Oryctolagus cuniculus: one gene and its partners. The protein of the gene in region 4 purifies or fractionates together with the protein of the main gene of each other region. This does not show direct contact. Links are inferred from orthologs where the notes say so. Each region holds a gene or a part of one and is shown on either strand. Other genes may lie near its edges.

The links.
Region 1: the proteins of LRWD1 (region 4) and ORC3 purify together in Homo sapiens (affinity purification with mass spectrometry; 4 studies listed by BioGRID and IntAct, with this or other methods). This does not show direct contact. The link is inferred for Oryctolagus cuniculus from reciprocal best matches to the Homo sapiens genes LRWD1 and ORC3.
Region 2: the proteins of LRWD1 (region 4) and ORC5 purify together in Homo sapiens (affinity purification with mass spectrometry; 4 studies listed by BioGRID and IntAct, with this or other methods). This does not show direct contact. The link is inferred for Oryctolagus cuniculus from reciprocal best matches to the Homo sapiens genes LRWD1 and ORC5.
Region 3: the proteins of LRWD1 (region 4) and ORC4 purify together in Homo sapiens (affinity purification with mass spectrometry; 3 studies listed by BioGRID and IntAct, with this or other methods). This does not show direct contact. The link is inferred for Oryctolagus cuniculus from reciprocal best matches to the Homo sapiens genes LRWD1 and ORC4.

What each region holds. Positions count from the first base shown.
Region 1 is NC_091436.1:84,933,257-84,940,750, reverse strand, and holds part of ORC3 (origin recognition complex subunit 3), read left to right. Parts: intron 1-3,440; coding exon 3,441-3,545; intron 3,546-4,826; coding exon 4,827-4,978; intron 4,979-6,933; coding exon 6,934-7,067; intron 7,068-7,494. UniProt on the Homo sapiens protein: Component of the origin recognition complex (ORC) that binds origins of replication. DNA-binding is ATP-dependent. The specific DNA sequences that define origins of replication have not been identified yet.
Region 2 is NC_091434.1:140,252,430-140,259,923, reverse strand, and holds part of ORC5 (origin recognition complex subunit 5), read right to left. Parts: intron 3,042-7,494; coding exon 2,930-3,041; intron 1-2,929. UniProt on the Homo sapiens protein: Component of the origin recognition complex (ORC) that binds origins of replication. DNA-binding is ATP-dependent. The specific DNA sequences that define origins of replication have not been identified yet.
Region 3 is NC_091434.1:94,274,882-94,282,375, reverse strand, and holds part of ORC4 (origin recognition complex subunit 4), read right to left. Parts: intron 7,169-7,494; coding exon 7,082-7,168; intron 1,808-7,081; coding exon 1,699-1,807; intron 636-1,698; coding exon 540-635; intron 463-539; coding exon 395-462; intron 1-394. UniProt on the Homo sapiens protein: Component of the origin recognition complex (ORC) that binds origins of replication. DNA-binding is ATP-dependent. The specific DNA sequences that define origins of replication have not been identified yet.
Region 4 is NC_091450.1:44,073,547-44,081,610, reverse strand, and holds the start of LRWD1 (leucine-rich repeat and WD repeat-containing protein 1), read right to left. Parts: upstream 4,664-8,064; 5' UTR 4,528-4,663; coding exon 4,448-4,527; intron 4,137-4,447; coding exon 3,902-4,136; intron 3,808-3,901; coding exon 3,691-3,807; intron 3,399-3,690; coding exon 3,258-3,398; intron 3,063-3,257; coding exon 2,958-3,062; intron 2,781-2,957; coding exon 2,664-2,780; intron 2,593-2,663; coding exon 2,478-2,592; intron 1,839-2,477; coding exon 1,729-1,838; intron 1,635-1,728; coding exon 1,427-1,634; intron 1,095-1,426; coding exon 1,022-1,094; intron 931-1,021; coding exon 790-930; intron 374-789; coding exon 291-373; intron 208-290; coding exon 52-207; intron 1-51. Other genes in the region: ALKBH4 (alpha-ketoglutarate-dependent dioxygenase alkB homolog 4), read left to right, coding at 4,748-4,870, 6,702-6,899, 7,627-8,064. UniProt on the Homo sapiens protein: Required for G1/S transition. Recruits and stabilizes the origin recognition complex (ORC) onto chromatin during G1 to establish pre-replication complex (preRC) and to heterochromatic sites in post-replicated cells.

The DNA of each region.
Region 1 (7,494 bases), on a different chromosome or scaffold from region 4:
GGCTTCAGATGGGCACAGCTCCGGCCATTGCGGCCAACTGGGGAGTAAACCAGCAAATGGAGGAACTCTCTCTCTCTTTCTCTGCCTCTCCTTTTCTCTGTGTGTAACTGACTTTCAAATAAATAAATCTTTAAAAAAGGCAGAATTAGAGAGAGAGGGAGAAATAGAGAAAGATCTTGGATCCAGTGGTTCACTCCCCACATGGCTACAGTGGCCATCCAGGAGCTTTATCCAGGTCTCCCACATGGGTGTAGGTCCCAAGGACTTTGAACCATCCTCTGCTACTTTCCCAGGCACCTTAGCAGGATTAGAAGTGGAGCAGCTGGGACTTGAACTGGCACCCATATGGGATGCTGGCATTGGAGGCAGTGTCTTAACCTGATAAGCTACAACACCATCCCCTGATTTTTATACTTCTTAAAAATAATATCTCCTGCCGGGGCCACAGCTCACTAGGCTAATCCTTTGCCTGCGGCGCCAGAGCTCCAGGTTCTAGTCCCGGTTGCTCCTCTTCCAGTCCAGCTCTCTGCTGTGGCCCGGGAGTGCAGTGGAGGATGGCCCAAGTGCTTGGGCCCTGCACCTGCATGGGAGACCAGGAGAAGCACCTGGCTCCTGGCTTTGGATTGGCATAGCGCGCCGGCCGCAGCAGCCATTTGGGGAGTGAACCAATGGAAGGAAGACCTTTCTCTGTCTCTCTCTCACTATCTAACTCTGCCTGTCAAATAAAAAAATAAATAAATAAATAAAAATAATATCTCGTGGGTCCAGCTCTGTGGCATAGTGGGTAAAGCCACTGCATGCAGTGCCAGAATCCTATGGGGCATCGGTTCAAGTCCAGGCTGCTCTGCTTCCAATCCATCTCTCTGTTGTGGCCTGGAAAGCAGAAGATGGCCCAAGTCCTTGGGTCCCTGTACCTGTATGGGAGACCCACAGAAGCTCCTGTCTTCTGATCGGCACAGCTATCACCATTGCAGCCATTTGGGAAGTGATCCAGTGGATGCAGGACCTCTCTCTCTCTCTCTCTCTCTGCCTCTGCCTCTCTGTAACTCTCTGCCTTTCTTTTTATTTTTTTAAATCCTTTTTTTTTTTTTTTTTTAATTTTAATTTTTTGACAGGCAGAGTAGACAGTGAGAGAGAGAGAGACAGAGAAAAAAGTCTTCCTTTTGCCGTTGGTTCACCCTCCAATGGCCTCTGCGGCCGGCGCACCGCGCTGATCCAAAGGCAGGAGCCAGGTGCTTCCTCCAGGTCTCCCATGCGGGTGCAGGGCCCAAGCACTTGGGCCATCCTCCACTGCAATCCCGGGCCACAGCAGAGAGCTGGACAGGAAGACAAGCGACCGGGACAGAATCCGGTGCCCCGACTAGGACTAGAACCCGGTGTGCTGGCGCCGCAGGTGGAGGATTAGCCTGTTGAGCCGTGGCGCCAGCAACTCTCTGCCTTTCAATTAAATAAATCAATCTTTAAAAAAAATAATATCTCCAATAGAATTACTCTATAGTATGAATTTTATTTTCCTGTGTTTATAATTACAGATCATTTCATTAATACCAATTGCCTATAAGAGGGATTGGATGAATCGTACGTAAGTTGCTTTTTGATTGCAGGTTATGAATTTCTTGGATACTAATATCCATCATTAATAGTCTATCTTGGCCGGTGCCGCGGCTCACTAGGCTAATCCTCTGCCTAGCGGCGCCGGCACACCGGGTTCTAGTCCTAGTCGGGGCACCGGATTCTGTCCCGGTCGCTTGTCTTCCTGTCCAGCTCTCTGCTGTGGCCCGGGAGTGCAGTGGAGGTTGGCCCAAGTGCTTGGGCCCTGCACCCCATGGGAGACCAGGATAAATACCTGGCTCCTACCTTCGGACCAGCGTGGTGCGCCGGCCGCAGCGCGCCAGCCACGGCGGCCATTGGAGGGTGAACCAATGGCAAAGGAAGACCTTTCTCTCTGTCTCTCTCTCTCACTGTCCACTCTGCCTGTCAAAATAAAAAAGGTCTATCTTTAGCAAACATTTGGATTCTAGTATGATGTAAAAAATTATTGGTAATACTAGGAAAATTCCATGATTGTTGGGAGCACCTCGGACTAGACTAAGTTACTGGAATTAAGACTTATTCTATGCATCTGCTCTCCCACAATATGGCGCTGGGAGAGGAGTAAACAACTTTTACACAGCTGCCTCCAGTTCGACCAATAACCTGCAGGAGCTGATCCTGCTCCTGATTGGAGGAGAGCAGCGTACTCGGCGTGTGGGTAGCAGAGTTGGGATTGGTGGAAGAGGACTATAAAGGAGGAGAGAGACAACATGCACCAGGAACATCTAAGGGGAACATCCGGATAACATCTGAGCAAGCCCCGAGAGAGCCGGCCGGCGGTGTGCCGCTCCCCCCCTGCGGAAGTGGGGAAAGTGGCAGAGGGGCCCGCCCCTCCACGGAGGTGGAGGGATGGCAGCCAACCCGGGAAGGACCAGCAGCAAACCCGGGAAGGGCCGAGCAGACAAAAGAACAGTGCAGGGTCTAGTGTCGTACCTCCACGAAGAGGGGGAGCGACACATGATTGTTTTTTTCTTATGATTTATTTATTTATTTGAAAGTCAGAGTTATACAGAGAGAGAAGGAGAGGCAGAGAAAGAGAGAGAGGCCTTCCATTCTCTGGTTCACTCCCCAATTGGCTGCAATGGCCAGAGCTATGCCCATCTGAAGCCAGGAGCTTCTTCTAGGTCTCCATGTGGGGCCAGAGGCTCAAGAACTTAGGCCATCCTCTTCTGCTTTCCCAGGCCATAGCAGAGAGCTGGATTGGAAGTGGAGCAGCTGGGACTTGAACCAGCACCCATATGGGATGCCAGCACTGCAGGCCTGCAGCAGCTTTACCCACTATGCCACAGCGTTTCCTTTGTCATTAGTTTTTAGAAACAAAGTTTAATTTACTTGAGTTCCAAACATGCTTTTTTTTTTTTTAAGATTTATTTATTTATACGAGAGGTAGAGTTACAGATAGAGAAAGGGAAAGACAGAAAGGTCTTCCATCCTCTGGTTCACTCCCCGAATGGCCTAGTGTCCAGGGTTGGGCCAAGCCAAGGACAGGAGCCAGGAGCTTCATCTGGGTCTCATGTTGGTGCAGGGGCCAAAATACTTGGCCCATTCTCCACTGCTTTCCAAGGCTTGTTAGCAAGGAACTGGATTGGAAATGGAGCAGACGCTACTTGAACCGGTGCCCATATGGGATGCTGGCACTGCAGACAGTGGCTTAACCCACTGTGGCACAGCACCGGCCCCCAATATATATCTCTTTATGCAGTGTTATTTTCTTGATTTCTGTTACTCATCATATTTTCAAGTATTTTTACTTGGTAGTTTTTTTTATTAAGTATCTTTTGTTGTTAAATTATTACTAAAATTATGATGATTAATAAAATGTTGCTAATTAATTTTTTGTCCCATAGGTGTGAATGTCACAGATCATGAATTAATATTCAGAAGTCTAACAGAAGCCCTTCAGAATAATGTCACACCACATGTAGTCTCATTGCAAGCTAAAGATTGTCCAGGTAAAATATGAATGCCACAGTTACCTCAAAGAGAGTTAACAAACTTCCATTTCTTTCTCCCTTCTTTTTTCATCCCTTATGTGGTGGAAGAGCAGCCTACATTTTTGGCAGGGTGAGCTCTACTGGCTCCCAAAGTAATCTCTACTGTAACTGTACTCTACCACCTTTTACATCCTTTTTGTGGCCTTGTTCCTGCCATATCATAGCCATAGTTGTCCAATCATTTTTCAAGATTTTTTCTTAACCCACTGAATAAGTAGAAAGGTTTAGAACAGAAAGCTGAGAATAGGGGAAATTGGAACTCTTTTTTTTTTTTTTTAGCCCAACAGAGAGTAGACTATATAGATTCATATTTATAGTCATAAATCATTATATTGTCTCAGTATGAAAGGCCCCCATGGTAAAAATAATCCAGTGGCAAACTAATCTTGGATATCTGAAACCATCATTTCATAAAGGGTATGTAATACACTAAAATTTATTTGAATTTGCATTGATAAGATGAATTTTATATACTTATATTTCATATTCATACTATTTGTAATTAAGTAAAAGTCCTAAAGACATCTTTAAAAATTACTATAAAGGATGATTTATAAGTAGTAAATTAACTCATGTAAATAGTACTTTTGTTCTTTTAGGGATCTTGAAAACCTTTGTTGTCTAGTGTAATTTGAATACTTACTAGTCCTAATATAATTCATAGTTTTCCTGTTTATACATTTGCTCCACTTTTGTTATAGATATACATGAAAACTTTAGTTTTTGTCTTAATTATGAAATTTAGGATTCTAATGAGCATTAATAGTTAATATATTAAGTATTACATTAGTTACATTGATGGTAAATATAGGAAAACACATTCTACTCAATTAGTTTCATTTGCCAAAGTTTCATGGGCTTCCATTTTTTTGTTTCAAAGATTTTTATTTATTTATTTGAGAGGTAGAGTTACAGGCAGTGAGAGGGAGAGACAAAGAGAAAGGTCTTCCTTCTATTGGTTCACCCCTCAGATGGCCGCAATGGCTCGAGCTGTGCCAGGAACCAGGTGCTTCTTCCCGGTCTCCCATGCTTCTTTCCGTGTCTCCCATGGGCCATCCTCTACTGCTTTCCCAGGCCATAGCAGAGAGCTAGATTGGAAGAGGGGCAGCTGGGACTAGAACAGGCGCCCATATAGGATACTGGTACCGCAGGCGGAGGATTAACCTGTGCCATGACGCCAGCCCCAATGGGCTTCAATTTTAAGAGGAAATAAGCTTTCTTACTTTTTATATTCTGCAGATATAAAACATTTTTTGCAAAAGTTGGTCTCACAACTGATGAATTGCTGTGTGGATGTAAAATCCAAAGAGGAAGAAAGTGTTCAGGTCACCCAGAAAAAGACACATTGTTCAATGGATTTGCTTTCAAACTGGTATAAGACTGTCACACAGGTAAATATAAACTGATGATTTTCTCCGAGATAGATATTGGATGTGACTGGGTTATAGAATTATATTAGATACAGTACTGTATTTTTTTAAAGAATATATTTACATAGCATTAAGTGTTAATTTAATAGTGGCTGTTTTCTTTAAGTGACAAGAATTTCAGATTGTTCTTTTTATTACTGTGTAGCCTAATTTTCAGTAAGTGCTTAGGTTCTTTTTTTTATATATATATATTTTTATTTTTATTTTGGACAGGCAGAATGGACAGTGAGAGAGAGAGAGAGAGAAAGGTCTTCCTTGTCCATTATTTCACCCCTCAATGGCCGCCGCTGCCGGCACACTATGGCCGGCGCACCGCGCTGATCTGAAGGCAGGAGCCAGGTGCTTCTCCTGGTCTCCCATGCGGGTGAAGGGCCCAAGCACTTGGGCCATCCTCCACTGCACTCCCAGGCCACAGCAGAGAGCTGGCCTGGAAGAGGAGCAACCGGGACAGAATCCGGCGCCCCGACCGGGACTAGAACCCGGTGTGCCGGCACCGCAGGCAGAGGATTAGCCTATTGAGCTACAGCGGCGCTGGCAGTGCTTAGGTTTTTACAAGAACATTTTATTTGTGGAAAAATGTCATCCCATGAGAATAACAGAGCATTAGGAATTGGTCTACCACAAATTCTGCCTCTGGGACAATGGCTGTAACTTTAATATATTACCTCTTAGGTTCATTCTATCTCTGTGACAATGGCTATAACTTTAATCTCTTTGGTTCTTCAATATTTGCTTTTGTGTAGTGGAACCATCTTGCTAGTACGTACTGTTAACTTAGTCCTATGAAGAATAATCACGTATTTTTTTAAAGAAAATCTGAGTTGTTCCATGTTTAGAGTTCTTGGGGAATTGGTACTCTGTAAGTATATTTAACAAACAGACAAATAAAAAGAAGTTCCATTCTACATTATGGCCTCTGGAGAAAATGTATAACCTAGGTGATTCAAGATAACTGCAATGTAAAACTTCAGCTTTATTTCATGATGCTGTGTAACCAGACAAGTTAGGGAAAAAATGAGGTGGTGACATTTTTCCAATTAACGTTTTTGCTACAGTCATCATGAGAGAAGTTTCATTTTGCTTCATATAGGAACTAATGCTTATTAATTCAGTCTACAATTTTAAATTTTCTGGGAATCAAACACTACTTACAGTTGATATCAGGAATCTTTAGAAGATTATATTTGGGCCAGGTGATACTTAAGGCTCATTGTTGTTGTTTATTTTGTGGGAGACACAGAGAGAGAAAGACACGAGCAGATAGAGCTTCCAACCACTGATTTACTTCACAAATGCACACAGTGGCTGGGGCCAAACCAAGACGGGGGGAATTCAGTCCAGGTCTCCCAATTACTTGAGCCATCACCATTGCCCCCAGGGTCTGTATTGGCAGAACACTGGAGTCAGGAGCCAGAGCTGTATATTGAACCCAGGTATTCCTCCAATGTGGAATGTGTATGCTAAACCAATGTCTTAACTAGGCCAAATGCCCACCCCTTAAGGTCCTTTTTAAGCCTGAAATTTCATAATAGCAGAGCAGCAAGTAGTGCTATTTTTATGCTTTCTAATTAAGAATACTAGGACTTCTTAAGCAAAACAAAATATAACTTTCTACTGGTAGAAAAATCAATTTTGAAAATTTTCTTCCCATTTTTCTTGTCATTCTTCCCAGCAAAAAATATAAATATTTTATATACACTATAAATTTTACTGCACCTTTTTCTTCTTGTTTATTATTCCCATGTTAGAATGATTCTGCTAGTAACTGTTGAAAGGAGTTTCTATTATATAGAAGAAATAAAAGAAACAATGTTACTGTGAAGTGTGAAGGGAAATATGTCAAATGTGGCACTGTAGCTTTGTTTGGGTGATAAAGCTTACTTTTTAACTCCTTCTTTCCATAATGGCTTAAAAAGAAGACAGAACCAAAAATTCCAAGCAAAAAGAGGACTACTTCTAGCCAATGGCATTCTCCTCCTGTTGTGCTTATCTTAAAAGATATGGAAAGCTTCACTACAAAAGTGCTCCAAGACTTCATACTAATGAGCAGGTATTTGGTTTGTCACCTGGGTTTTGTGCAAAATTCTTTTTTATTAAGAAAAAGTATTCCTTTTACCTTAAAAAGCATAATCTTCATTTTGAGTCCAACTGGACAAAGCTCAAAATGATACCAAATTTTTTCATTAAATGTTCAAATACATTTCAGATTTTTCATTTGCTTCTTAACTCAAGAACAGGAATCACAAACTTAGCCCATTTTTAATGAACGTGGTAAGGCAGTATAAAGTATAGTTTATTTCACCAAAGTCTGTTGTGCCTTAAATGGGATAAACTACTCCAGATGGAGATAATTTATTAGATCATTTTTTTTAAGATTTATTTATTTATTTGAAAGAGTTACACAGAGAGAGTAGGGGAGGCAGAGAGAGAGAGAGAGGTCTTCCGTCCGCTGGTTCACTCCCCAATTGGCTGTAATG
Region 2 (7,494 bases), on a different chromosome or scaffold from region 4:
AAGTATATTATAATCTATCTGAAGAAAAAATGACCAGAAGATGAGTAGTATGCATGGGAGACTTCCAAGTTGGCCTCCAAGCTGTAAGTAGTGAGAGAAGAGGTGTCCTTATTGGACACCATGTTCCTAAAGATGATTTATGAAGGACTTCAAAAAGTTCATGGAAAATGGGCGTTATCTTTTAATTCCATTTTTCATTTTTTAAAGTTTTTATTTGATGAATGTCCATTTTTCCATGAACTTTTTGAAGTCCTTTTTACATACTAAGTTATCATGACTGATGACACTGACCACTAAATCCATCCCTTTGCTCTGGTTCCATGCTTGCTTCCTCTAACCATAATTTGACTTATTAGTGTTTTCTTTTGCCTTTTTTCTGATGATAATGATTTTTCTTCAAAAGGACTTGATATGTAAAAGGTCACAAAATTTAGTAGTCAGATTTGACTTGGCTGCATTACTATATACTCTTTTTTTTTTTTTAAGATTTATTTATTCATCTGAAAGGCAGACATACATAGAAAAAGACCTTCCATCTGCTAATTCACTCCCCAAAAGGCCAAAATGGTCGGGGCTACACCAGGCTGAAGCCAGGAGCCAGGAGCTTCTTCCAGGTCTCCCACGTGAGTGCAGGGGCCCACGGACCTGGGCCATCTTCCTCTGCTTTCCCCAGGAGCGCTAGCAGGCAGTGAATCGGAAGTAGAATGGCCAGGACTCGAATCGGCAACTATATGAGATGCCTGCACTGTAGGCAGAGGCTTAACCTTCTACCTCACAGTGCCATCCCCTACTAAACACTTTTCAAAAATCTATTATCCTATGCTCAGAAACTAGCAAGATCACTGTTATTTAAATTTTTTTCATCCATGCTGCTTTGTGTCTTTACTTTTAGAAGCTGCAACAGAATTTTATATCATTCTTTAGTTCATATTTACTAAGATGCAGAAAACCAGCATTTTGAAATTTTCTTAAATTCTAGTAATTTTTTAATACTTAAATCTAAAATGGGTCATGAAAAGTTTAACCATAAGTAGGGATGAGAGCTTCAAAGCGATTTTCAAAATTATATCCTGGGGCCAGCATTGTGACGCAGTAATGTTAATCTTCCACCTGTGGCGCTGGCATCCCATATGGGTGCTGGTTCTAGTTGCTCTTCCTCTGGTCCAGGTCTCTGCTATGGCCTGGGAAAGCAGTGGAAGATGGCTCAGGCACTTGGGCCCCCGCACCTGCATGGGAGACCTGGAAGAAGCTCCTGACTCCTGATCTGCACAACTCTGGCTGCTGCGGCCATTGGGGGAGTGAACTAGCGGATGGAAGACCTTTCTCTTTGTTTCTCCCTCTCACTGTCTGTAACTCTACCTCTCAAATAAATAAATAAAATTAAATTAAAAAATTAAATCCTTTGATTCTGTGATTTTTCCCCCCATGGATGAGACGTTATTGAAAATAAGGATTCCCCTTTTCTATTTTGGGTAACTTAAAAAAAATCAATTAATTAGCTAGGACAGGAGGTGATACTTGCCTGTTGTTCTTGTGAAAATAGGCAAAAATGTGTTGATCTTAACAATGAATATTTACAAAAGATAAATCCAGAGGGGTAGTGGTAGTGAGGCCAGCGTCATGGGATGCTATTTTTTTCTTTTTTCTTTTTGACAGGCAGAGTGGACAGTGAGAGTGAGAGAGACAGAGAAAAAGGTCTTCCTTTTGCCATTGGTTCACCCCCCAATGGCCGCTGCGGCCAGCATGCTGCAGCCGGCACACCGCAATGATCCGAAGGCAGGAGCCAGGTGCTTCTCCTGGTCTCCCATGGGGTGCAGGGCCCAAGCACTTGGGCCATCCTCCACTGCACTCCCTGGCCACAGCAAAGAGCTGGACTGGAAGAGGAACAACCGGGACAGAGTCTGGCGCCCCGACCAGGACTGGAACCTGGGGTGCCAGTGCCGCAGGTGGAGGATTAGCCTATTGAGTTGCGGTGCCGGCTGATGCTATTTTTTTCTTTAATTTTGTTTAAGGAATACAACTTCATGCATTTAATATAAACAAATTTGGGAACATGGTGATTCTCCCCCCCCCCCACTTCCCTCCCACCTATTCTCCCACCTTTCTTCCTCCTCCCTCTCCCTTTACCATTCTTATTTTTTACTGAGATCAATTTTCAATTAATTTTATACTAAAAAGGTTAACCCCCTAAGTAGAGAGTTCACCGAATAGTATGAAGAAAAAAAAAAGCACAAAAACAAACAAGAATAATACTGTTCATCAACAAGGCAAGGGATGTTATTTTTTCATACACACTTCACAGTTATAATCTTTGAATCAGAAGTTTTACACTTGTATACTGACAACAGAGTAGTAATCTACAAAGCTATTTAGCAACACAAAGAGCTAATGTGTTCTTACAAAGACAGAATTAATCAAGATCTATGAAATCTAAGTTTAAATTCAACCCCCTAAAAAAGACATTTAAGAGTTAGTGGCTGGTACTACAAAAGTTACAAGAATGAAAAACAAGATTCACAAAATCAAAAGATATATTACACATGGTATTTTAACCCAATTTTATTATAAATAAATGTTTCAATATAATTTTAGTATGCTTCGTCATTATAGTCTACTTTAATCGTATGGATATCATAATTGCTGCATATTTTAATGTACCAACTAAAAAATGATAAAAATATGCTGTTAGCACAAAGATATAAAAGTTGCTCATTCAAAAAATTTCAGGACTTATACAAGAATAATTCCTCAAAGTTTCAAATTATAACTTCAAAAATATAGTACAGAAATATAAAGGACACTGTATTTGAAATTGGCAGTGTACCTTATCAGTTCAGAACACATCCCACTTTAAACACGCTAGCTTAATCTTTCAAACAACATTAAATCTACTGAATATCATTTGCCAAAACAATCTTTAAAAATTTACCTATGCTATAATCAGGGAAATACAAGACAAATGGTTCAAAGCATCCAGTATTTGGACGAAACTTTTCCCAAACAATTTCACTGAGAAATATAACAGTCACATTTCGGTCAGTCTGTAAAAGAAAAAAAAAAAAAAAGCTTTGCATTTAAAAGTATTAATCAAAGCAATAATTCCATTTACATTTTTCCTTTAAAAATTCCAGGAAGGGTGGTACTAATGGCATCTTACATGTTAAAGTGATCATTTTAAGTGTGTAACTGATCATACAGATAGGAATAAGTGTCAAAGGGATCATATAAATAAGATCAGTTATCTGCTAATAACAATATAATTAAAAAGGAGAGAACGATTCTACATGGAAAGCAGGCCACACAGCAGACTTAGAATGACAAATGCCCTAAACAGCACTCTGACCTCAGAATCAGCCCTTAAGATATTCTGATCTGGCTGAAAAGCCCATGAGAGCATTTCAGGAATGGAAAGCCAAGACACTGTGGCAAAAAAAATGACCTAAATCAAAGATCTCTGTGAGTGAGAGCCTTGGCAGCTCATGACAAGAGTCTCGGGTGATTGCTGACATCATAAATAAGAGTGTCAATTGTTAAATCAACAACAGGAGTCACTGTGCACTTATTCCCTATGTAGGACCTCTGTTCTCAATGAATTCTACTATCAGAATAACAGTAAAACTTGTCATCAAACAGTACTTTATACATTCTGTGTCTGTGTGGGTGCAAACTGTTGAAATCTTTACTTAGTATAGAGCTGGTCATCTGTATATAAAGATAATTAAAAATGAATCTTAATGAAGAATGGGATGGGAGAGGGAGTAGGAAATGGGATGGGAAGAGGGGTGGGAAGGAGAGTATGGGAGAAGAACCACTACTTTCTTAAAGCTGTACCTATGAAATTTGTATGTATTAAATACAAGCTTTCTAAAAAAATTTTTAAATTCCAGTGCAATTTTAACATAAAACACATCATTTGTATGTTATTTTAGAAAACCTAATCATCTACTTGCAAATATTCAATATATCTGTTCTCAAGGATGTTAAGATAGTCACATGAGATTTACTTTAGAAATTAAGAAAAACACTTACTTGAATAATTAAGACAAAACTTTTATGTAAATTCTCAAAAAAATCATAAGCTTTCATCAGTAAATTTAAAAAGGCAAAGCTTATCATTTCTCATCATTAAAAAAGCTTCAGCAACCCACAGAAAAGTTAATATGCAGTTAAAGGAAAATAGATATGCCATATCTATCCCCCATAACAGCGCATACTAGGAACATTAAAGGTTTTCCTTAAGGTTATGTTTACATCAATCGCTAAGTAAAACTGATGTTCAATAAACAATAAAAGCTCAAACTACGAGTATTATCATCTAGAACATCAACATTAAGCAAAACACTTATCTTTTGAAATATTCATATATGTAGAAATTACTATATCAACAAAAAATACTAAGAGAGCCTGTTATCATACTATAGCATGGCCATAATTGTCCTAAACAAGCTAGCTGACATTTTGTGTATTCATCTCTGCATTCTCTACACAAACTTTAATTTTCTCCATATTATTTTGGCATTCCTAGGCTAACAAAGCAGAAAGAAAGCTGTTTTGGTCAGCAGTGGATGACCCTAGAACCAGTCTTCCACATAAACTGTACTGTATATTTTTTAAAGATTTTTTTTTATGTATTTGACAGGTAGAGTTATAGACAGTGAGAGAGAGAGACAGAGAGAAAAGTCTTCCTTCCGTTGGTTCACCCCCCCAAATGGCCGCAACGGCCGGAGCTGTGCCGATCTGAAGCCAGGAGCCAGGTGGCCCAAGCACTTGGGCCATCCTCCATTGCCCTCCCGGGCCACAGCAGAGAGCTGGACTGGAAGAGGAGCAACTGAGACTAGAACCCGGCACCCATATGGGATGCCGGCACCACAGGCGGAGGAGGATTAACTTAATGCATCATGGTGCTGGCCCCTATACTGTATTTTGACACTGAGTGATTTACTGATTCCTTACCTGTATGATTTTCATTGCTTATTTAGTTAACAAAAAGATCTGAATACATAATTCCACAGAAAATTTAACATCTCTATGAGAGGAAAGGATTTTTATTTCCAAATGCTTTGTCTTACAAATTCACTTTTTTTTAGATTTATGTTATTTATTTGAAAGACAGAACCACAGAGTGAAGGAGAGACAGAAGGAAAGATCTTCCATTCACTGGTTCACTCTCCAAACAACCGCAAAGACCAGAGCAGAGCTGATCTGAAGCCAGGAGACAGGAGCTTTCTCCAGGTCTCCCACGAGGGTACAGGGGCCCAAGAACTGCTCTCCCAGGCCATAGCAGTCAGCTGGATTAGAAGTGGAGCAGCCTGGACTCCAACCGGCGCCCACATGGGATGCCAACACTGAAGGCCAGGGCCCTAACCCGCTGCACCACAGTGCTAGCCCCAAATTCACTAACTTTTAAAAAAGATTTAAATAATTTATTTATTTGAAAGACAAAGCAACAGAGAAAGGGAGACAGAGAAAGACATCTTCTATCCCAATTAACTCTCCAGATGGCCTCAACAGCCAGGACTGGGTCAGGTCAAAGCCAGAAACCTGATCCTGTCTCCTATGTGGATACAAGGGCCCAAACACTTGGGCCATCATTCACTGTTTATCCAGGCACAGTAGCAGGATGCTGGATTGGAAGCAAAACAGCAGGTACTTGAACTGACACTCTGATATGCTCTGCTGGCATTCTTAAGGGATGGCTTAAAACTGGCTATGCCACAACACTGGCTAGAAATTCACTGATTTTTACAGAATCTATGAATATACTTGTATGGTATAAAAAAAAAAGTATGCTCTAAACACCATCCTGATTACAAAAGCACTGCATTATTTTTACTTCACTATAATTAGCTAAAAACATTTTATACAGTTAAAAATATAGAGAGCTTAAAAAAAGATACTTATCAGTCTGAAAGGATTTTAGATTGGTAACATTCTTATCTATTCATGAGAAAGTATTTTCAGTATACAACAGTTGTTACCAAACAAAATTTTTTTTACTCAGATACTAAATATATAAAAATGAGAAATGTTTTTGCTAAATTTCTCTTGAATAAAACACATAAATCAAGTATGTTTCAGAAATTTCTAAACAATTTTCTTTTCTGACAGATTTCAGACTGCTGTGAACTCATTAATTTTCTTTAAATAGCTTGCATAATTAAAACTAAAAAATGGTGAAAGTCCTAACTATGGGTACATGATCATCATTCCTGGGCACAAGGAGGAAAACACAGGGTAATTTACCCTGGAAGGGCAAGAACACACTCTGGATTCCAGATGGGGAGTCCCAAAGCAAAGCACTGAAAAACAGTGGGTAAAAATATGCAAAGAAGGTGCAGGAGCTGTGGTGTAGTGGATAAAGCGGCCGCCTGCAGTGCCAGCATCCCACATGGGCGCTGGTTTGAGTCCTGGCTGTTCAACTTCTGATCCAGCTCTCTGCTATGGCCTGGGAAAGCAGTGGAAGCACCCACGTGGGAGACCCAGAAGAAGCTCCAGGCTCCTGGCTTTGGATGGGCACAGCTCCGGCCACTGGGGCCATTTGAAGTGAAGCAGCAAATGGAAGACCTGTTCCTTTCTGTCTGTCTGTCTCTCTCTCTCTCTTCCTAAGGGACAGGTCCCTGGTCCCCTTCAGAAAATGCTAAGTCAATGAAACCAGGAAAGACTAGACTGTGAGGTTAACTCCCAGCACAGACCACCAGTAGCCACACTCACCCCCCCCCCACCACTCCCCGTGTGCTCTCCACCCTCCTGTCCTAGGACTACTGCTGACAGTGAGCCTTAGGAATTGGCCTTAGGAGCTGCAGTGATTTCCATAGCATTTAGAAGGCCTCCCTAAACTAAGCAGTTTCTCAAATTTGAGTAATGTATTTAACTTTGAAAAGAGGAAATGTTCTAAGCACTTCTCCCCAAATATTTACTTTTTATGATACTGTTGTTACTTAATACTTTAATGCATACATAATTAAAACTAGGTAGGTACAAGCTATTTTATGCTCAAAACACAAAATTATAAAACAAAAAAATTGTAAATTAAATGGAAACTACAAAACCAAAGAATTCAAATGAATATTTACTGAATAAGAACAATATACCATCCTACTCAAACTAAACCTTTGCTTCCTTTGTGAACAGGGTCCTAACAATAAACAGCCATGGCTCCTTCTCTATCATGGAACCCCTATGCTAACCAGAACTGCTAAAGAGTGAATTCTCTCAGCAATTTTCTTTATTTACCTACTACAAAAATCCTATTATTATTATTATTATTATTTGGCTCTCACTTGCCACATATCCACATAATCTACCCCCCCGCCCCCCATTCTTGTTGTTTTCTCACAGGATCATGCCACCCACAGGGACAGGACCATTTGGTACCAACACATTTGTAAATTGAAATAGGAAACTGAGTGTAAGGGCTCTTCAAAGAGTTTATGGAAAACAAAAATTAGGAAAAAAAACTGCATAGATTTTAAAATTATTTTGCATCAAAATAAA
Region 3 (7,494 bases), on a different chromosome or scaffold from region 4:
AGTGGGTAGAGGTTTCTTTTTCAAATAAATTAAATGTGAAATAATTTTAAAGTTTTAAATGACTCTTGTCTGCATTTTTATCTCCTTTTACTGGTGTGATGACAAGCAGTTCTTGGACTAGAATGAGACGATTACAGCAATGTTTTTTTTTAACTGTAATGAGTAGCTCCTTTTCAGGATGCAAGTGCTATGAATTGACAGCAGAGGGCAGTGCAACACCACAAACTAAAACAGAACTAGTTGCCTTCAAAATACTGAAACATTTTAAAATTTTTGTCTGTTTAAAAAAAATCCCTAATACTTAATGTCTGAAAGTGCAACTTTGATATATATATATTTATAATCAAACTGGATGTAAAAGCTACTTGTCTAAAAAACAGCAAACCAATCTTACCTTCATGACAACAGGTTTCTCAAAATTATAAACAGAATGGGCCTTTCTTTGAACAAACTTTTGAAACTCTGGATAGGAAGAAATGAAAATATCAGAACCTTCACACAAGCAATAGAAGAGAGAAACAATCAAAGTCTTAGCTCACCATTATAGACCATTTGAAAATTAAAGGGCTCCTCTTCATAGATGTCATTTAAATGTTTCATTGCTATAATAAGACAGATTTCCAAAACTGACAGACCTACAGTAAAATAAAAACTATGAGTTGTAGTTAAAGAGACATAAGATTATACTGTCTTCTGAAGGGCATAATACAGTCAAAGATCATAGCTTCGTGGGCTGGAGGCCAAGCCTCTCCTAGACCCAAATGGTTTCCATCACTATTATCTTTACAAACTTAAGTTACTTAACCATGTGAGGTTTAATTTTTCATAATCTGAAAAATAAGGTACTTTCTACACTTAGAAAAATTACAAGGATTAGAGACACGATAACCAAACATTCATGATATAGCCCACAGTAAACAATATATAGGAACTGCAATTACTGTTTTTAAATCACAAAGGTCCTTGGGTGGGATTTATTGAGAGAATCCCTAAACTTCTTCAAATCATATCCAAAACTGTACTGTTTCCCGGGAAAGAAAATGTTCATCAGAGACTCAAAAGGGATAATGAATCCCAAGTGACAAAAAAATTAGTGAATGCTCTTCAGTGGCACTGGTTTAATGAGAATGTCAGCAACATAGTCTTGCCTGGGTTTCCAAAGTGGCATGAGAAGTGTCAAGTTTCCATCACTTTAAATAGTAGTAGTAATGCCTTTTTAAGAACTGAGTTAGGGGCAAGCGCTGTGGCATAGTGGGTAAAACTGCCACCTGCAGTGCCAGCATGCCATATGGGTGTCGGTTCAAGTACCAAATGCTCCACTTCTGATCCAGCTCTCTGCTATGGCATAGGAAAGCAGTGAAAGATGGCTTGGGCCCCTGCACCCACGTGGGAGACCCGGAAGAAGCTCCAGGCTTTGGATCAGCGCAGCTCAACTCAGGCCATTGTGGCCAATTGGGGAGTGAACCAGCGGATGGGAAGACCTCTCTCTCTCTCTCTCTCTCTGCCTCTCCTTCTCTCTTTGTGTAACTCTTTCAAATAAATAAAATTTTTTTTTTAAAAAGAACTGAGCTAATGGTTCTCCATGAATATAAAAGTATTCTTAACATAAAATGATGCCAATGTTAATTTCGAAAAAAAAAATATATTATCTAAATTCAAACTTTTTATAACTAAAAAAATTATTATTAGGCTTCTCACCATGTACAATATTGGCTTTAGAATCCATGCTACACAGCTGGTTAGCCTCCATAAGATCTGCTGGAGTCACAAATGGATGAGATGCTGTTACTCGATTTAAAGCAAGCATCTAGGCAAATGTAGAATAGAGAAAGGATTACGTATTTACTGTGTGATTTTGGAGATATAAGAGGGCAAAACTTCTGAATTTGCATAATTTATGCCTAAGAGAAAGTAAATATTAATGCTTGGCAAAGGTATTCTCCAGTTTAGGTCTAATAAACACAGTATTTCAACTCATTTCATATTACTCTACAAATGTACAATATGAACAAATTCTTGCCACTCTTCCTACCCCTTTCCTCATGTGTAATTTACCCCTCAAAAGAACATTTCAAAGCGTAAGGTGATGAGAAGAAACAAAGTAAAAATGCTAATCAACCAGCCAAAGTTAGTGTAAGATAGAAAGAAGTCAGCTATTTTCTGTTTGATTGTACAAAGAATATCTATACCATGAAATAATTCTCCTTGAAAGCAGAGCCTGCTTCTTATTTAACTAACATTGTCACACAAATACCTTGAGATTTCTTTTTGCTTTCTTTATATACATAAAATTTTTCATAAAAGTTAAATTTTTTCATTTAAGGTTAGCAGATAAAAACTGGTATCATCGGGGCCGGGGTTGTGGTGTAGCAGGTGAAGCTACTGCCTGCAATGCCGGCATCCCATATAGGCACCTGTTCTTGTCCTAGCTGTTCCATTTCTGATTCAGCTCCCTGCTAATGCACCTGGGAAAGCAGCAGAGGATGGCTCAAGCCCTTGGGGGCCCTGCACCAATGTGGGAGACCCGGAGGAAGCGCCTGATCCTTGGCTTTGGCCTCACCCAGCCCTGGCTGTTATGGCCATTTGGGGAGTGAACCAGCGGATGGAAGATTTCTTTAGCTCCCCTCTGTTTCTTTGTAACTCTGCCTTTCAAATAAATAAATCAAAAATCTTCAAAAAGAACAAAAAAAATCCCTGATATCATCAGGTTAGAATTGAATTTTGGATAAACAATGAGAAACTGCTTAGTAAAAGTATATACCATGCAATATTTGGGATATACTTATCTTCCATCAAAACCCAGGCACAGGTGCCTTACTTGAGCAGAGGAGTTTGGCAATCCTTGTCTTTCATCCTCTGCCTGGCTGGAAACCAGGTCACCAGTAGCTGTTTCCCTTCCTCTGATGTTTCTTTTTTTCCTTTCACTTTTTTATTTTATTTTGAAAGGTAGAGTGACAGGGACACATACATACCTATCTACTATCCACTGGTTCACCTCCTCAAATGCCTGAATCAGTCAGGACCCAGAACTCTATCAAGGTCTCCTTTGGGTGTGCTCTGGTACTTAAGCCCTCATTTGCTCCCTCCCAGGATGCACATTATCAGGAAGCTGGATCAAAATTGAAGCAGGACTCAATCCCAGGTACCAGCTTAAGCTGCAGTGCCACACATGCCCTTCATTTTTCATTCTGAAATACTTTTTAACACGCAAAAAGACAACAGAGTAATACAATGCATTATCTATGGCCCCTTTCCCAGTTTAATGTAATTTTACAGAGATGAAGCCCCTCTCCTCCTAGACTCTCTAGACTTCTCCACACAAAATAAATCAGTATGTATTCCTAGAAAACAGAGTAATTTTCAAATATCATATAAATACTATTGTAGTTTCACAACTATCTTTTGACTTACCATCTATTAACAGAATTATCCATGTTGAGGTATCAATTCTACTTTATTAATTTTTGGCTGCTATACTGTATTCCTTTGGATATATCCATTATTATTCATTTTCTATTGATGCACATGTCATTTCAATTTTTTTCCTGATTATAAACATGATTCTAATCAGCAATCCTATATCAGACTTCTTGTGCTTTTGAGTTTCTCTAGTTACCTACTTAGCTAAATGGATCTCCAAAGCGACTATACACATTTACATTAAAAGTAGTAACTTTTGGGGCCCTAGCAGGTAAGGCTGCCACCTATGGTGACAGTATCACATATGGATCCTGGCTTGAGTCTTAGATGTTCTACTATGATCTAGCTTCCTGTTAGTATGCCTGGGAAAGCAGCAGAAGGTGGCTCAAGTACTTGGGCTCCTGCACCCACATGGGAGACCTGGAAGAAGCTCCTGGCTTCTGACCAGCCCAGCTCTGGCGGTTGTGGCCATCTGGAGAATGAACAAGTGGGTGGAAGATCTCACTCTGTCTCTAACTCTGCCTTTCAAATAAATGGATAATTAAAAAAAAAAAAAAACCTTTTTATATTCATACTATAACATAACATGTAAACGCTAATACACATCAGACTAGTAGAAAAGTCTAATTGCAGCATTTGTCTGTAATCTTCTCAAATGTAAAGATCTTCCACAGCAAAGAAAAAGATAATCAATAAAGGAATGAGATAAGAATATGAGCAAGCAACCCATCAAAGTAGAAGTCTACATTACTAAGCAAGCTATTATTTAATTCATTATGATGCATTAAAAATTTAAGAGGAAACTGGCAAAATAATAGTTGTTCCTGTTGACAATACTGAGGCAGAGATACTTTCCCAGAATAATGGGAGATATATATATATGTATATGTGTATGTATGTATTTTTTTTACTCTAAAAATTCTTATTAACCAAATTCCTTCATGATAAAAACAGCTGGTGCTAGTGCTGAGGAGCTAGTGTTGTGGCATGACAGGCAAAGCTGCTGTTGCCTGCAACAATGGTACCTCATACAGGTGCTAGTTTGGGTCCAGGCTGCTCTTCTCTGATCCAGCTCCCCGCTAATGGCCTGGGGAAAGCAATGGAACATGGCTCAAGTGTATGGCCCCCTGCCAGCCATGTGAGAGACCTGAAAGCAGCTCTTGGCTCCTGGTTTCAGCCTAGATGAGCCCTGGCTGTTGCAGCCATTTGGGGAGTGAACCACAGCAGGTGGAAGATCTCTCTCTGTCTCTCTCTCTCTGAAATTCTAATAAATAAATCAATCTTTGTTTAAAAACATAGCTGGTGCTGAAAATATCAGTGTACTTTTGATTGATGGACAGGAGATAAACTAATAAGTAGGAAGCCATATAAAAAGAAAAAGACTTAAATTTCCTTAGCAAAACAAGAAAAGGGAAGGCAATCTGTAACGAACATGGCAGAACCACAGAATAAAGTAGAAAAGAAACTTGAAGTCAGCCAGCCTTGGATGCAAGTATTGCTGACTAATATCTCTCAGATCTTTATCAAGTTATTTAGTGTCAAGGTGCCTCAGTATCTACAAGGGTAAGGATAAAAGTACCTAAGGAAAAAAAATAAGATTGTAGAGGTTAGTAATGTAGGTAAATTAACAATAATAGTAACATTTCTTGTCAAGAAATATTAGCAATTATCACTATTGTCCTATTACTATTAATGAATATTGACCAAGAGACTCCTAAAACCAAAGCTATTTTCTTTGAAAGGTATTTGCCCAAGACAATTTTCTAGAAATACTACACTAATTTCAAACTGTTAGGAAGAAGTTCTTTAATTTTCAGAATAAAGTAATTTTAATTGATATTGTTTAAAGTTAGATGCAATTACTTGGTGAAAGACTATGATTAACTAGAATGTATTCCAGGTATAAGATACTGGTTGATTTTTCAAAAATCTATCACTGTTACCCAAGCAAATCAACAGGTTAGAGAGAAATTATATAATCATATTATACTGATTAAGAGTAAGCATCTGACAAAATCCAACATCTACTCATAAACTCTCAGCAAGTTAGAAATGAGGAGGAATTACCTCAAATGTTTAAAGAGCGTGTATAAAAAATGCATAACTAACATCATTATATTTCATAGTAAAAGACTGAATGCTTTCCTTATAGGATTGAGAATGAAGAAGGATATTTACTTTAATTGTAGAGTTATTTCTAGGCACTGCAATAAAACATAAGAAAATCAGGATACACATTTGGTACTGTTATTAAAATGCCTCTTGGGAATGCACATTACGTATCAGAGTGCCTGCTTCAAATGCAAGTTCCTTCGCTTCCAACCTAGCTTTCTGCTATTGCATGCTCTGTGAGGCAGCAGATTTTAGATAGCGTAAGTACTTGCATCCTTGTCACCCACAGGGGAGAGCTGGTATGAGTTCTGGGCTTGCCCTTAGCTGCTGAGGATATTTGGTGTTTGGGGAGTAAACCAGCAGATGGAAGATCTTGCTCCAATCTCCTGCTCTGGCTCCAAATAAAATTTTGTTAAAAAGAAAAAAATAAAATGCATACAGTCTAAAAAAGCAAGTAACACCATCTCTATTCATTGTGATTGTTAACATGGAAAATCCCAAAGAATCTTAAAACAAATTCATAGAATTACTAAATTTAGCGAAATCATAGCAGATCAAAACAATCACATTCCTGTATAGTAACAATGAGAATACTAAAACCAAAATTTAAAAATGCTGTCTACAGGAGCCAGCACTGTGGTGCAGTAGTTTAAGCCAAGCATCCTATACTGACGTGCTGGCTAGAGACCTGGGTGCTCTGCTTCCGATCTAATTCCTTGCTAATGCTCCTGGGGAAGCAGCAGATTTGCCTGAGTGCTTGAACACCTACAATCCATGTGGGAAACCAGGATGGAGCTCTGGGCTCCTGGCTTTAGAAAAGACCAGTCCAGGCCGGCGCCGCGGCTCACTAGGCTAATCCTCCGCCTAGCGGCGCCGGCACACCGGGTTCTAGTCCCGGTCGGGGCACCGGATTCTGTCCCGGTTGCCCCTCTTCCAGGCCAGCCCTCTGCTGTGGCCAGGGAGTGCAGTGGAGGATGGCCCAGGTGCTTGGGCCCTGCACCCCATGGGAGACCAGGAAAAGCACCTGGCTCCTGGCTCCTGCCATCGGATCAGCGCGGTGCGCCGGCCGCAGCGCGCCGGCCGCGGCGGCCATTGGAGGGTGAACCAACGGCAAAGGAAGACCTTTCTCTCTGTCTCTCTCTCACTGTCCACTCTGCCTGTCAAAAAAAAAAAAAAAAAAAAAAAAAAAAAAAAAGACCAGTCCAAGCCATTGTGGCCATTTGGGGAGTGTACCAGCAGATGGAAGATCTCTGTCTTCACCCTCCTCATTTTCTTTCACCCTGCCTTTCCAAAAAAAAAAAAAACAACTTATTTAAAATTGTATCAAAATTAATTAAGTATAAACATTAAATATATTTATTATCTGTGTGGTGAAAAACATTACAAAAAAGATTAAGTAAAATGAGATACATAACATATTCAGGAATTGGAATACTCAAAGTGGTAAGCATGTCAGTTCTCCCAAATTTATCTATAGGTTTGATCATTTCCTGTGAAAACTTAATCACTTGGTGAAAGAAAGTGACTGATAAATCAAACTAATACCAACCAATAGCATGTGTAATGACCGCAGGTTTTTGCTGACATTGAAATGCTTCTGTAGTACTTCTCTCACACTTCTATCTTCTGAGAGACACTAAAGAAAATAACAACAGAACAATGTTGTTTAAAACCTAAGTAATATATGGGGTGGGCATTTAGCCTAGCAATTACAATGCCTGTGCCTCATATCAAAGTATCTGGATTTGCTAACCCAGCTCTGGGTTCTGACTCCAGCTTCCTGCTAACATAGATCCTGTGAGGCAACTGTGATGAGTTCCTGCCACCCACCACGTGGACCTAGACTGAGTTCCCAGCTTTGGCCCAGCACAGCCCCAGAGATTTCTCACAATTGAGGAGTAAACCTGCAGACAGGATTGCTCTGTGTGTCAGTCTTTCTCTCTCTCTTAAATAAATAAAAAA
Region 4 (8,064 bases):
GCTCAGGTGGGGCAGCGGGGGTGGGGGGTGCTCCCGGGGGCAAGTGCTCACCTGGGCAGGTGCTGAGGGAGAAGTAGGCCAGGTTGGTGGACGACCACTGCAGCCAGGCCAGGACGACCACGGCCACCGAGGACCGGCTGCCCCTGCCGCCCCACGTCTGGCTCCAGCTCCACAAGCAGATGGTGCCTGGGCTGTTCCCCTTGGAGGCTGCGGGAGAACAGGGGGTGCCAGGCTGAGCCCGAGACCCTAGCCCCCGAGGGAAGCCATCGGCCCAGGCTGGCCGCACTCACCCACGACGTCCTCGTTCACAAAGGCCAGCCCGTCCACTCTGCGCCCGGGCGCCTCAGAGAACACGAACTCCACCTCACACGCCCTGTGTGTGTTGGGGGTGGGGAGGCAGGGCTGTGCACCAGAGCCAGGGGCCGGACGCCCCCAGACCTGGGCCCAGGGCTGCACGCCCCAGCCCTCACCTGCCCTGTCCTCCCAGTGGCCCAGGCCACCATGCCGCCTCACTGCTGCCAGCTGTCCCCACCACAGGCTGTTCCCCCTCCCTGCCCCACATGCCACCCAGCACCCTTCTGAAGGGGCCTGGGGCGGGTCCCCTGTAGCTGATGGGGGGGGGCACACCTGTCCCGAGTGCCTGTGCCCGGCAGGGGCAGATGTGCCCCAGGGCCTCTCCTGCTCACCACCACCAGGGGCCTCAAGCTGGTGCGCAGCGGGCTGGGCTCCATCACTCAGCCACAGGCGAGGGGAAGGCGGCAGGGGCGCGGGGAGCCCGCCCCACCTCACCTCCTCTTCTGGGGCTGGTCCAGCCGCACGTCCCAGCAGCAGCAGCCGCCCTCACAGCCGGCCAGCAGATAGGCATCCGGGCAGGAGGGGACGGGGCAGAGGCGCAGGGGGATGGAGGCGGCGTCCAGTGTGAGCAGCTGGCTGTGGGGGGGGGGAGATGGGAGCTGCTGGCCCCAGCTAGCCCCCGCCCTGCTGCCCAGCTTGCCCCGCCCCAGCCCTGCCCTGCCGTCACCTCGCCTGGAATTCGTAGTCGTGGTTGGGCACCCCGATGTCCCAGAGGATGATCCGCTTGTCATAGGAGGCCGCTGAGGAGGGGTGGGCAAAGGGACAGGTGGCCCTGCTCCCGTTGGCTGGCCACGTCCCAGGCTGAGGCCGGGCGCCCGAGGCCAGCCCTGTCCCTCCTTGCTCTAGCCCAGGGCCCACACCGCAGCCGCCAGGGCAGCTCGGGCCCCGCCCATTGGGGGGTCACCACCCAGGTCCCTGACGGGGGAGCAGGGCGGCCCGGGTGCTGGGAAATCCAAGGCCACAGAGCAGCAGCAAAGGTGGGCGTGAAGCCCAGAGGGGGGCCTGAGGTTCTGTCTTCCCGCCAGGGCAGCAGGAGAGGGGTGCGGGGGCCCCGGCAGAGGGCGGGTCTTACTGAAGAGGTGGGTCTCCCGAGTCGGGCTGAAGCAGAGGGTGGCGATGGCCTTCTTGTGGGCCCGGATGGCTCCGCAGCAGAAGCCGGCGCGCACGTGCAGCAGCCGGACCAGGCCCCGCAGGCCCGCAGCCGCCAGCACGTTCCAGCGCTTCTTGTGGCCGGCTTGTGTGACCACCGTCAGGGTCGTCCAGGCCACCGAGAAGAACTCCTGGCGGGGGGGAGGAAGCAGCTGTGGGCACCGCCCCGCACACCGGCGTCTGCTTCCCCGGTGTGGGAGCAGGGAGGCAGGGGCCCGCACCCACCTCGCCAGGCGCCTTGTACTTGTGGAGCACGATGCCCGTCTGGCAGTCGATCACGCACACAGCCTCCCCGCCGCAGGTGGCCACGGTCTGCGACGTGGCCCCCGAGCCCCCTGTTTTGAGGGGCTCAGCTGAGCGGAAACCTGGACTGGAGAGCTCCCGCCTGGCTGGAGGACACCTTCTAAACTGTCCCCTCCCATCCAAGGCGGCCCCCTTGGTGGTACACCCTGGCCCCTGGGGCAGGTGCTGTGCTGCAGAGGGCTGAGCCCCCACCCGCGGCGCCGGCCTCCCATGTGGGCGCCAGGCTGTATCCGGGCCACTCTTTCTCCCACTCCGGTTCTGGCCTCAGCCGGGGGCTGTTGTAGGCATGCAGGGAGTGGACCAGTGGATGGGGCCCCTTCCTCAAATAATGAAGACTTTTTATAAAAACAGCTCCCGTGGGACCCGCAGCTTCATGTCGTGGGCCCTGTGGCTGTACCCTCCTCCGGGGCCGGCTCGAAGGCGCAGGCCCACCGCTAGGTCTCCAGGCCCTGGCCCCGGCCCCGCCCCCGCGGGCAGCTGTACCCTCCTCCGGGGCCGGCTCGAAGGCGCAGGCCCACAGCTGGGTCTCCAGGCCCTGGCCCCGGCCCCGGCCCCGCCACGCCCCCACGGGCAGCCATACCCTCCTCCGAGGCCGGCTCGAAGGCGCAGGCCCACAGCTGGGTCTCCAGGTCTTGGCCCCGCCCCCGCCACGCCCCCGCGGGCGGCCGTACCCTCCTCCGGGGCCGGCTCGAAGGCGCAGGCCCACAGCTGGGTCTCCAGGTCCTTGGGGCTGTTGTTCTTGCTGTGGCACTGCAGGAAGTGCAGCGGCTCCAGCTTCAGGGCAGCCTGGGGGGCAGAGCGCGTCAGGGGCTGTGCGAGCCCTTGACCTCCCCACCCCTGCCCACCGCCCAGCTCACCTGGCTGCTGTCCGAGCCCCCAGGGCTGCCCTCCCTCCGGGCGGCCGGGGAGGCGCGCACCCGCTTGGGGGCAGAGAGGCCGAGTGGGGTGTCATCGGGCCGCTTCACCAGCCTGGCCTGCGGAGAGGACCTGGGTGACCACGGGCCCGAAGTCCCCGGGACTTCCTGCCCGAACCACGGCCCCGCCATGGGGTGGGAGCCGCGGATGGCCCAGGGTCCCGGGGGGAGCCAACTCAGGCAGAAGGGGCACGGCAGGCCCTGGGAGCCCCGGGGGCCACACGCAGCCACGCTCACCTTGGGCTTGTGGGCAGCTGCAGCTTCTGGGGGCTTATCGGGGACACTGGCCACATGGACCTGTGTCCCACCAGAGGCCACCAACTCCTCGGAGATCATCCGCACCTGGGGGGGGGCATCAGGAAGCTGGGCACAGTCCTGGGTCCCCCAGCATCCCCCAGACTCGTGCTCCAAGGGGGCGTATGCTTCCTACTTGGAAAGGGATTCAGCCAATAGGGCCGGCTCCTCTGTCCAGCCGCCCCCCCCCCCACAGCCCCTCGGGGCAGGCCAGCGCCCCGGCGCGGCAGGGTGAGCACCTACACGCCACTGGGTGAACTCGCTGAGGGACTCGGGCCCGTAGCGGACGTCTCTGACCGCGGACTTCACAAAGTCGGCCTGCGCCTTCTGGGTCTCCTTTTCTGGGCCCAGCGCCTCCATGAACTTCTCCCAGTGAGCTGTGACCTGGGGGAGGAGGGACGGGATCCAGCCCTGGCCAGCCCCTATCTGACCTCACACCCCGCAGGTGTCAACCCTGCACCACCGGTGGCTAGCCCCACCCCCTGCCCCGCCCCCTCTTATCTACAGAGTGCAGGAACCTGGTCAACACAGACCCCAGGAACGGCCCCCCTCCATGGACAAAGGGGGCCCCACCACAGCGGGGCTCAGGCACAGCGGGCAGGAGCGCTCAGGGCGGAGCCCGCCACCGGCCCCTCCCGCCGCGCCCAGGTGCTGCTCAGTGGCTGCCGGCCCGTACCCTGCTGGTCAGCTCGCGGTTCAGGCTCTCCACCTGCGTGCAGTTGGCGGAGGCATCCTTGCCGTTCACCTTCCGGAGGTTGGGCAGGAGAAAGGAGACTTTCAGGTTGTCGCTGACCTGCGGGGTGCAGGGCGAGCGCAGCTCAGGCGGCGGCCGGCCCAAGCCCGGGGCCCGTGGCCCGGAGCCCTCCCCCGCGGGGCTGTCCACCGACCGTCAGGAAAGGGTTGCCCTCCAGGCTGAGCTCCTCCAGCTGCGGGAACTGGCACAGGGCCGAGACGTCGGCCAGCTGGTTGTTGGCGCAGCGCAGGACGCGCAGGTGCGCCAGCCCCAGGTTGGCCGGCAGCGTGTCCAGCTGGTTGTTGGACAGGTCCAGCTCCTGCAGCTGCTTCAGGCGGCCCAGCAGCTTGGGGTCCAGGTGCTCCGAGTGCAGCTTCAGCCCGGACAGGCTGCGGCGGGGGCAGGGCGGGGAGGCTCAGGGCCAGGGTGCCGGGAGAGCCCTTCCGCCTGCGAAGCTGCCCCCCGGGCCTGCATGGCGCCCCCAGGACGCCTTTCCCCGCGCCCCTTTGAGCTCAACAGGTGGCTCAACCCGCAACCCGCCCTCTTCGGGGCTGCGACAGCGCGCATCTCCTCCGCAGGAGACGTTTGGCGGGAACGGCCGCGGAGCCCCCTCCCGAGCGCGAGCGACTTAACGGCCGCCGGCCTCTCTTCCCAACGGCCCACCGACCCCGTGGGACCTCGCCCCCGGCCCCCTTCTTACTCCAGGCTCCGGATCCGTCCCAGCCGGTCACTCTTGGGTCGCCCGCGCTGCAGCAGCAGCCGCGCAGTGAGGGGGCCCATGGCGCCGACGCGCCGCCCCGGCAGCCCGCGGAACCCGCGCTCCCCAGTCCGAAGCCCACGCCTGAGGTCAGCGCAGCCCAGGAGGCGGTGCCGAATGAGCCCCGCGGGTGCAGGCGGCCGCGAACGGAAGGAAGCCAGGACCACGTGCCCCGCGCGCGGACTACGACTCCCGGCGGCCCCCGCGGCCCGGCGCCTGCGCACTGGCCGCCCGGACGGCGCGATGGCGGCGGCGGCGGCCGAGGCCCCGGAGGTGCTCAAGGAATGTGGCTGCAAGGGCATCCGGACCTGCCTGATCTGCGAGCGGCAGCGCGGTGGGTTCCCGCCCTGGCAGCTCTCCCCGCAGGTAGGGGCTGAGCGAGGGACCGCGCCCACAAAACCCGCTCTGCGTAGGGGAAAGGGAGGCCCGCCGCGGCCGGGGTGACAGTCCGTCAGGGGGCGAGGCCGCGGTGGGCGCGCGCGCGGCGGCGGGGTGATGCCCCAGGAGAGGGACTGCGGGGGTTTGGAGGGGAGAAGGGGTCACGTGAGCTCGCACCCGGGCAGGCAGGGAAGGAGGTGCGGAGGCTGCGAGGCCGGCGCAGTGACCACGGCCATCGCCGGAGCCCGCTGCCCCGCTCTGGCTCCGCGCGCCCAGGAGAAGGGAAAGGAGGGTGTGGAGGGGACACCTGGGCAGACGCGACCTAGGTATCCATCGGCAGAGACGTGAGTGGCGCGGCGTTGTCCGTGAGCCCTGCGCGGAGGAGACCCGCTGACCCGCGCTGCAGGGTGGGGAGCCTTGAGCGCCCGCCCCGAGCGGAGTGAGCCGGTCCCTTGGGACGACTCGGGAGGAGTCACTTGCGCAGGGACGGAGGAGAAACGCGTCTCCAGGGGCTGGGGAGGGGAGGGGAGGCGGGGAGGCAGTGGGTCTGGGAGGATGATAGAGGCGGCCACGGAGCCGCGTTACAGGTGTTGCAAGGGCGCACGTCGTGTTCCACGCCTCTCACCACGGTGCGAGCGTTTGCGGTACCGGGCTAGGGGCCACGCAGGCGGCACCGCTACAACTCGGGCTGTGGGACAAGGAGAGCGAGATGTCCGGGGCACCCACCCCCACCCCGGGTGTAGCGCGTTCTGTCCGAGGGACTCTAGTGGGAGCCCAGGGACGGGAGTGCAGGAGGAGGGGCCGCAGAGGCCAGCCCGCTTTCTGGTGCCCATGGGGTCCTAGCCTGGGTGGTGGCTCTGGCCGGGACCCCCGCAGGTCCGTGTCCCTGCTCTCACCTGCAGGACGGCTGTGCCGGGGTGAAGCCGAGGGTAGAAAAGAGGCAGTGGCGAGGGGCTGGGGGCCCTGGGAGAGTGACTAGAGGGCAAGGACAGGAAGGGAGGTGCGGCGCTGAGGCCTGGAAGGGGACAGGGCCAGGTGCGGCCCCGGGATGGTGGCAGAGCGGGGGCATCGTGGGAGAGGAGGAGCCAGCGACAGCTCAGGGGTGAGAGGTGTGTGGGAGGAGAGGCTGGGCTCAAGTGAACGCCCAGCTGATGGGGGGAGATGAAGGGGTGGGGCAGGATCCTGATCCCTGCACCCCCGGTGCGGGGGGGTGTCCCAGGAACGCTGCACTGCTGTCGCCCAGCCCTCCCTGGGGGACCGCGGCAGGGTCAGCAAGGACCCCGAGAGCCTGCAGTATGAGATGCAGGGCCGGGGAGGGCGGGCCGTCAGTGCACGAGATCCGGGACACCTGAAGGGGGTGGTGACCCAATTAGGATGGCAGAGACAAGCCCCCAACCGCAATGGGCAGAGAGGCTGGGCACCGCAGCACGAGGGGTCAGCCAGTCACGGCCCTCGCGGATGGCTGATGACGGTGACAGCTCAGCTGGGTGCCTCTTGGGCCACCACAGAGGGGGACACCTCCCCTCCGGCCTCCGGCCCTGTGCTGCTCTCCCAGGGTCACCTGGCTGGGCCGGGGGCTCCCACCCAGGCCTTTTCCGTCCACGCACCCGAGGCAACGGCGCGTTTGCAGACTGCTCCCGGGTGTGCGGCCCTGAGCTGGCTCCTTGACCTTGCTGCGCCCCCTCTGGGAGATGGATGTCAAAAGGAGGGCCGCTCCGGACAGGGGAAGAGCAAGGAGCCACCCCAGGGCACCTCGCCCCGGGGAGGGGGACTCCCTCAGCGTGTGGCGGTCCTGTGACGCCCACCCCCTCTCCTGCAGAGAACACACGAGTTCCTTTACTGCTCGGACACGGGCTGGGCCGTGGGTGCCGCCGACTCCGACTTTGAGGGCTGGGCCTTCCCCTTCCCGGGGGTGATGCTCATCGAGGACTTCGTGACCCGGGACGAAGAGGCCGAGATGGTGCGGCTGATGGACCGCGACCCCTGGAAGCTCTCGCAGTCCGGACGCCGGAAGCAGGTGCGCCGGGCTGCTCGGGGGAGGTCTCGCACCACGAGCCCTGGGCTGTGGGAGTGGGCGGCCAGGGTCGCTGGGTGGGGGCTGGGTCTACTCCTGAGAGGCAGGTTCCTGACGGGCATTCAGACTTCTGTGGCTGCCGTGGGCTGCCTGCCCCCTCCCCCCATCACGTCCCACGTCCCGGCACACGTGCCTGCCTGTTCTCCTGTGACTCCCTGGCCGGGGACCACAGCATCCCTGCTCAGGCCCCGCCTACCCGCCTTCTCCCCACCCTGCCTCGGCTGCCCTCCAGGGCCAGTACTGACAGTCACCCCTCCCGCACACTCTGCTGTCTAAGCCACAGCCCTCGGGAACCGGGCCGTGCCGTGGCTGGGAATGGGCCACGGGCAGCTCTGGTCATCTTTTTTTTTTTTTTTTTTTTTTAAAGATGTATTCATTTATTTTAAAGGCAGAGTTAGAGGCAGAGGTAGGGCCCTCCCACTGCAACACAGGGTCCTGCCCGCCCCCAGCACCCTGGGCTATGCCCCACAGAGGTCACCGGGCTCCGCCATGGCCCGGGGTCGCAGGCTGCTCGCCCTGTGCCTGCCTCCTCCCCCCGCTGGGAACGCCCCATTCCCGGGGCCAGGCGCTCTGCACCGCGTCCCCGTGCCCGAATGCCCAGGACTCGGTCCTCGACGGCCGCCTCTGCCGGCTCAGCCACCTGCCCCTCCCCCCTGCCCTCCCCCCGCAGGACTACGGCCCCAAGGTCAACTTCCGGAAGCAGAAGCTGAAGACTGCGGGCTTCCGAGGCCTCCCCAGCTTCAGCCGCGAGGTGGTGCGGAGAATGGGCCTCTACCCCGGCCTGGAGGACTTCCGGCCCGTGGAGCAGTGCAACCTGGACTACTGCCCCGAGCGGGGCTCCGCCATCGACCCCCACCTGGACGACGCCTGGCTGTGGGGCGAGCGGCTGGTGAGCCTCAACCTGCTGTCCCCCACCGTGCTGTCCATGAGCCGGGAGGCGCCCGGCAGCCTGCTGCTCTGCTCGGCGCCGGCCGCCGGCCCCGAGGCCCTGGTGGACAACCTGATCGCCCCCAGCAGGTCCGTGCCGTGCCAGGAGGTGGAGGTGGCCGTGCCCTTACCCCGCCGCTCCCTGCTGGTGCTCACCGGGGCCGCGCGGCACCTGTGGCAG